2 linked regions of the Drosophila melanogaster genome follow. The protein of the gene in region 1 interacts with the protein of each later gene in a biochemical or structural test. Each region holds a gene or a part of one and is shown on either strand. Other genes may lie near its edges. The genes, in order: Rpt3 and CG30031.

What was found.
Region 2: of the proteins of Rpt3 (region 1) and CG30031, one has a biochemical effect on the other in vitro, tested with the Drosophila melanogaster proteins (one study listed by BioGRID).

The regions. Positions count from the first base shown.
Region 1 is NC_004354.4:11,123,166-11,127,542, forward strand, and holds Rpt3 (regulatory particle triple-A ATPase 3), read left to right. Parts: upstream 1-1,935; 5' UTR 1,936-2,147; coding exon 2,148-2,183; intron 2,184-2,257; coding exon 2,258-2,341; intron 2,342-2,399; coding exon 2,400-3,521; 3' UTR 3,522-3,620; downstream 3,621-4,377. Other genes in the region: CG11122 (uncharacterized protein), read right to left, coding at 1-433; SrpRalpha (signal recognition particle receptor alpha), read right to left, coding at 3,810-4,377.
Region 2 is NT_033778.4:11,348,874-11,352,288, forward strand, and holds CG30031 (uncharacterized protein), read left to right. Parts: upstream 1-1,937; 5' UTR 1,938-1,953; coding exon 1,954-2,715; 3' UTR 2,716-2,748; downstream 2,749-3,415. Other genes in the region: gammaTry (gammaTrypsin), read right to left, coding at 221-982.

The sequences.
Region 1 (4,377 bases):
CCACATGCTTGGCCTGCAGCTTGCCGGAGGCGAACTTCCTATCACAGTACAGACACAGGACCTTCGAGTGCGCGGCTCCACCCAGGCCGGCGGCCTCTTCCCGCTCGCGCTCGCGCTCCCTCTCCCGTTCTCGTTCCCGTTCCTCCGTCATCTGATGCAGCTTCTCCACCAAACGGGGCAGCCGCTCCAGCGGCAGGCTGCAGATCAGCGAGAGCGGCTCTTGTTCCGCTTCCAGCTGATCCTCGTGCGGTTCCACCTCTTCCTGTTCCGCGTCCACATCCTCCTCCTGCCGGGTCTGTCGTTTTTTGCGCGGATTAGATGAGGCAGCGGCCGTGGCTGGTGCCGTTGCCGGTCCAATTGGATTCTTGCCGTTGACCTGCTCCTCCGAGAACTTGAAGCCACGGCGCAGGCCGAAGCGCGACATGGTCTTCATGTGGAGGCCACTGGGTCGTCCGTGGTTGCGTTGCACAAGTTAACTGCTTCGCCACTCCTGCAAGCAGTGCGGGGTGTGCGGACAACAATTTACTGCTGCACGCACACTGCTTCGTTCTTCCTTCTTCTTTTTGTTGACAAATAAACCGCAAGAAGAAGCAGCGAAAAACAAAAACTACTCACACACACGTACGCACACACACTCGCACGCACACCTGCTCAATTGGAAATTATACAATAAACATTTTCAACTCCTCGAATTGATCTCGCTCTGTTATCGGACACTATTGTTTTGGCCAACAGCTATATATAGCATAACTACCACTCCACTGCACAAGACCACACTGTCCACTTGGATATCCCGACTTGGTCTCTCCTGCGTATCTAAATACGTTTCGTTTTGTTTCGTTCTATTCGTTTTGTTCTGTGTTTCGGTTCGTTGTATTGCACTGTATTCCGGGATTTCACGGGATTGCTTTCCGTTTTGTTGTTTTGTTTCTTGTTTTTTTCTTGTATATTTTGTTCTTTTCGCTTGGATACGGACCAGACCAGGAGCGCCAACGGATCCGTATCAGTGCCTTGCACTTAAATTTAAGCACGGCATTGCAGCAGCTCGACCACCAGTGTAGCGCATTCAATTTTCCCTGGCCGTTCTTTCCACCCTAACAACTGCGTTAGGAGGTATCTAACGTTTAGCCCAAATCGATGCGTGCGTACGGCGCAGAGGGGGCGGCGGCGCGGCCAGAGGGGGCGGGGCACGGCAGCAGGACAACGACGACAACGACAACGATACTTTGTGGGAAACGTACTCGGAATCGGAATCGGAATCGTACTCGTACCCGTTCTCTTTCCCGTTCTGATGCTAGCGATATTGGGGAAACGATTTTTCGGCGACGGCGGCGGCATTATCAGCCATCGAATTGTGCTATATAAACAGCAAATTCGATTTCACTGTCCTACCAGCGCTCGTGTGTGTATATATTTGGTTCGTTCGCACACGCACACATAGCACACACAGAAGCAGCAGGAGCGACCGAAATGTTAAATGTGTGTGTTTTTCTACTCTTTTTTTTTCTTATGGGAAATCGAAATCGCGTCAAAATGGTCGGGTTTTGCCAGTGTGTACACACTTGTACCCGCTGGCGAGAAAGGTACTCGAACTATCGATAGTTGCGTCTCGAGCAGCGATACTTTGGCATGGTTCTACGTGAATTGCTTAGAATAACTTGCGATTTTATCAATTACTTATAAGCGATCTGCATTCGAAATAGTTTTTGTTAGTAATAAATCTGTTATCAGCTTTTGTTCCAATCAGAGCTGGTATATATCGGGCAATTATCAGACAGCTGATTTTTTCCCATCACCAGATGCTTTGAAACGTATTAAAAAATACTTTCCGGATATTAAGTGAGAAACATGACATGTGATATTAGATTTATTTGTATACAACATTTTAGCTTTACAGACTAACTGGTATAGGATATTGTCCAATAAAGAGGAGTTGCTTTCTTATCAGAAAGAGTATATATCGAAAAAAAAAACCGATTGAAAGAGCAGCACAATTTGATAGATAAATGGCCCCATCGATAGATCACAATCGATTGCGGACAGGGTTGCCACCACAACGCACTGCTGGCTTGTTTTTGACGAGTCATTTTGGTCGCCTCGCAGAAAACGCAAACTAATAAAACGAGACTCATTGCTGAACGAAAAGAATGCCGTACAACATGGACGTACTGATACCGGAAAAGGTGCGTAGTTGCCTCTCTGCGCCGCCTGGCATGCGTACTAATTACCTCTTTCCCAATTCCACTTTTTCCACCAGGACGAGCTCTCCGACTTGAAGCTAAAAGATGCGCACAGTTCCCTGGACGAACTGGACATGGAGGATCTCTACGTGCGTTACAAGGTGAGTCGTCCACTGGTCTTCCATTTGATCACCCATCTAAGCGGCCATTGTGTTGTAGAAACTGCAAAAGACACTGGAGTTCATTGAAGTGCAGGAGGAGTACATCAAGGACGAGCAGCGAAACCTGAAAAAGGAGTATCTGCACGCCCAGGAGGAGGTGAAGCGCATCCAGTCGGTGCCGCTGGTGATTGGCCAGTTCCTGGAGGCCGTCGATCAGAACACGGGCATTGTGGGCTCCACCACCGGCTCCAATTACTATGTGCGCATCCTGTCCACCATCGATCGCGAGCTGCTGAAGCCCTCCGCCTCGGTGGCCCTGCACAAGCACAGCAACGCGCTGGTGGACGTGCTGCCACCAGAGGCGGATAGCTCCATTTCGATGCTGCAGCCGGATGAGAAGCCCGACGTTAGCTATGCGGACATTGGTGGCATGGACATGCAGAAGCAGGAGATCCGCGAGGCAGTCGAACTGCCGCTGACCCACTTCGAGCTGTACAAGCAGATTGGCATCGATCCGCCGCGCGGCGTGCTTATGTACGGTCCGCCCGGTTGCGGCAAGACCATGTTGGCCAAGGCGGTGGCCCATCATACGACGGCGTCGTTCATACGCGTCGTCGGCTCGGAGTTCGTGCAGAAGTACCTCGGCGAGGGACCGCGCATGGTGCGCGACGTTTTCAGGCTGGCCAAGGAGAACGCGCCGGCCATCATCTTCATTGACGAGATCGATGCGATTGCCACGAAGCGTTTCGATGCGCAGACTGGCGCCGATCGCGAGGTGCAGCGCATTCTGCTCGAGCTGCTCAACCAGATGGACGGGTTCGATCAGACCACGAACGTTAAGGTGATCATGGCTACCAACAGGGCGGACACACTCGATCCGGCATTGCTGCGACCTGGTCGATTGGATCGTAAGATTGAGTTCCCGCTGCCCGATCGCCGGCAGAAGCGACTCGTCTTCTCCACCATCACCTCGAAGATGAACCTAAGCGAGGATGTCGATTTGGAGGAGTTTGTGGCGCGGCCGGACAAGATCTCCGGTGCCGATATCAACGCCATTTGCCAAGAGGCGGGCATGCACGCGGTGCGTGAGAATCGCTACATCGTTTTGGCCAAGGACTTCGAGAAGGGCTACAAGAACAATATCAAGAAGGACGAGCAGGAGCACGAGTTCTACAAATAGATTATATTAATTCATACACACTACTCCCGCCCCATTTTTTCCCCCAACACACTAAACTCTTCTTTGTACGCATAAAGTTATAAACATTAATAAAAAAATAAAAAAAAACAAAACAACTTGTAATCGAAGTGCCAAGCGATCCTTAATCCTAAACGAACCAACAGCCAACAGTGGGCAAAGCATTCCATTTACGCAACAACAAACTAGACAAAAGCCATATATTTGATTCGGTGAAAAGAGTGGATGCAAACAAGGAGCATTGGAAGGATAGCCGGATCGACGGCTGGCTTACTTCATCAGGGAATTGACCACGGCGTTCACATTGATGGCCTTTAGGTCGGCATACGTCTGACCCGTGCCCACGAACACAATTGGCTGGCCGGTTATGTAGGTCATGGAGATGGCGGCGCCCACCTTGTCATCGATGGTATCGAACTTGGTCAACACTATGCCGTCGATGATGTGCGGGTTCTCGTTGGATGAGTAGTCGGCCAGCGACTGATTGAACTTGACCAGCTGGTCGACGGCTTCGTTGCCCACCAGTGCCTCGCCCACGAATAGCACCAGATCCGGATTGTTCACTTTGATTAGCTTGGACAGGGAACGCATCAGCGGCTCGTTATCCTGCATGCGTCCGGCGGTGTCCACAAGCACCACATCCACTCGCGTATCGTGGGCAAACTTGATGGCCTCCATGGCAATGCCGGCGGCATCCTTGCCGTAACCCTTCTCGTACAACTGCACCATGTTGCGTCCATCGTGCTTGGCCGCCGGATGCAGTGCGTTCAGATGGCGTGTGTGTGTGCGCAACTGCTCGACGGCACCGGCTCGGAACGTATCGCAGGCGGCGATCAGA
Region 2 (3,415 bases), on another chromosome or scaffold:
CAAATTACCTTTAATTTATTAAAATGATTTAAACCATTATTAACCTCCCGACAGAAATCTAGGTGTTTGTTATTTTTCAGGAGGTGAGAATACATTTTTTAGAAGGTTTCCTTTCCCATTTGCTGAATAAGACACATTACTGTTGAATCAGTAATAGGTCAAAACCACAATGAAACATAATAAAAGTAATATCCAAACTGAAATTTATTTCGCATACTTCTTAGGCATTGCTAATAACCCAGGAGCGGAGGGCAGCAACATCGGCATAGACACCGGGGTAGTTGGAGTAAGCGCATCCGTATCCCCAGGAGACAACACCGACGAGGACTCCGCCGGAGACCAGTGGGCCACCGGAGTCACCCTGGCAGGCATCCTTGCCGCTGGCAGCAGCGCAGATCATGGTGCTGCGGATCTGGCTACCGTATCCGTAGGTGGAGGAAGCACACTGGCTCTGGCTAACGATGTTCACGTTCACGTACTGCAGCTGGGAGGGGATGGAGCTGGATCCGTAGGAGAGAGTGCCCCATCCGGAGACGGAGGCCGCAGCGCCGTTGGCGGGGTTGGAGCTAGCCAGACCGATGGCCTTGATGGTGGAGCTGAAGGTCAGGGCGCCGTTGATCTTGATGATGGCAATGTCGTTGACCATGGTGTTGGCGTTGTAGCCCTCGTGGTTCTTGAAGGAGGACACAGAGAAGGTGACACCGCCGGAGCTCCAGTAGCTGGATCCAGCACGGATCTGCAGGACGGAAGCGGACACGGACTGCAGACAGTGAGCGGCGGTCACGATGACGTTGCTGGAGTAGATGGATCCACCGCAGGAGTGGCTTCCACTGCGCTGCAGGGAGATCTGCCAGGGGAAGCTGCTGATGGTGGTAGCAGAGCCGCCGACAATGCGGCCATCCAACTGAGGCAGGAGTCCCTCAGGGACGGTGCCTCCCAGGGCGCAGGCTACTGCAGACAACAAGATCACGAACTTCAGCATGGTGCGAATCCAATGAGTTGACTCTAAACTGGACACCCCTTTTATACAGGGACCTATCTCTTTGTGGCGCTCTTATCATAAATTTCAATTATTTTTATCACTTGCTTGTCAGGGAAATCCAAAATATTTTTTAAATGTGTGACCGACAAATAGATTTCGCGAATAAGAAGTATATACGTATACAAAGTCCAGATTCATGCCAAACGATTTTTTTTTGCAATAAGTTGGTCATTTAAATAGCTTGAAAAAGATAGTCACATAAAGATATCGGGGTTTAAACGAAATTAAAACAATTTATATTTCTATAAACAATTTATTGTGTTTTAAATAAACAGACACCATAATTTTTTAAAAGAAATTATATAACTTATGAGAAACATCATGAGCATTACTAGAAAACAATGCAATTGAACGCATAATCATGTAATTAAAATTAATGCAAAGGCGATTAAATTGTTCTTAAAATTAATGGTTTTACAAAATTCACAAATTAAAATGCTAAACAGTTATTTTCTTTTAAAAAGCCAATAATATTAATAGTTATGCACACAATTATGTATAATAATTGGATTAGATTAGAACTAAATCAAGTTGAATGACAAGCATCCACTTTTAAAAAATTCCACAATGTTATTGTACAAGTTTAATCCCCTATTTAAATATGTAAGTCGAAAAAAGACGTTCCCATCAATACCTTGCAAATTAAATATAATAAAAAGAACGCGAATTATTTAGAAAGGTAATATAAAAGTAGTTACACTTTCCTTGCATTTTTATTTATTTTTGTGATAAAGAGCCGTGCGACTTCTGAGTTGTGGAATATCATTTGGGCACTTCAACGGTATTATTTGGGTTTTCCTGACACGCAGGTGATAAAAATAATTGAAAGTTGTGATTATAGTGCCAAGAACAGATTGGAAACTCGTATAAAAGGGGTGTCCAGTTTAGAGTCAACTCATTGGATTCGCACCATGCTGAAGTTCGTGATCTTGTTGTCTGCAGTAGCCTGCGCCCTGGGAGGCACCGTCCCTGAGGGACTCCTGCCTCAGTTGGATGGCCGCATTGTCGGCGGCTCTGCTACCACCATCAGCAGCTTCCCCTGGCAGATCTCCCTGCAGCGCAGTGGAAGCCACTCCTGCGGTGGATCCATCTACTCCAGCAACGTCATCGTGACCGCCGCTCACTGTCTGCAGTCCGTGTCCGCTTCCGTCCTGCAGATCCGTGCTGGATCCAGCTACTGGAGCTCCGGCGGTGTCACCTTCTCTGTGTCCTCCTTCAAGAACCACGAGGGCTACAACGCCAACACCATGGTCAACGACATTGCCATCATCAAGATCAACGGCGCCCTGACCTTCAGCTCCACCATCAAGGCCATCGGTCTGGCTAGCTCCAACCCCGCCAACGGCGCTGCGGCCTCCGTCTCCGGATGGGGCACTCTCTCCTACGGATCCAGCTCCATCCCCTCCCAGCTGCAGTACGTGAACGTGAACATCGTTAGCCAGAGCCAGTGTGCTTCCTCCACCTACGGATACGGTAGCCAGATCCGCAGCACCATGATCTGCGCTGCTGCCAGCGGCAAGGATGCCTGCCAGGGTGACTCCGGTGGCCCACTGGTCTCCGGCGGAGTCCTCGTCGGTGTTGTCTCCTGGGGATACGGATGCGCTTACTCCAACTACCCCGGTGTCTATGCCGATGTTGCTGCCCTCCGCTCCTGGGTTATTAGCAATGCCTAAGAAGTATGCGAAATAAATTTCAGTTTGGATATTACTTTTATTATGTTTCATTGTGGTTTTGACCTATTACTGATTCAACAGTAATGTGTCTTATTCAGCAAATGGGAAAGGAAACCTTCTAAAAAATGTATTCTCACCTCCTGAAAAATAACAAACACCTAGATTTCTGTCGGGAGGTTAATAATGGTTTAAATCATTTTAATAAATTAAAGGTAATTTGTTGAGGTACCCGTTTTCGATCAATTACTACATAGTTTAACTTATGTTAACCGAACTTACTCTTTAACAAAAGAGAATGCTATATTCGAGTTCCCCGACTATCAGATACTCTCGTTACTCAGCTAGTGTCAGGGTGAACGAACTAGCATCTTTCTTCTGGCATATCGATAGAAACTCCACAGTGAAAATGAATGAATGAAATGAATGAATGATATGAATGAAATGAATGAATGATATAAATGAATGAATGAAATGAATGAAATGAATGAAATGAATGAAATGAATGAAATGAATGAAATGAATGAAATGAATGAAATGAATGAAATGAATGAAATGAATGAAATGAATGAAATGAATGAAATGAATGAAATGAATGAAATGAATGAAATGAATGAAATGAATGAAATGAATGAAATGAATGAAATGAATGAAATGAATGAAATGAATGAAATGAATGAAATGAATGAAATGAATGAAATGA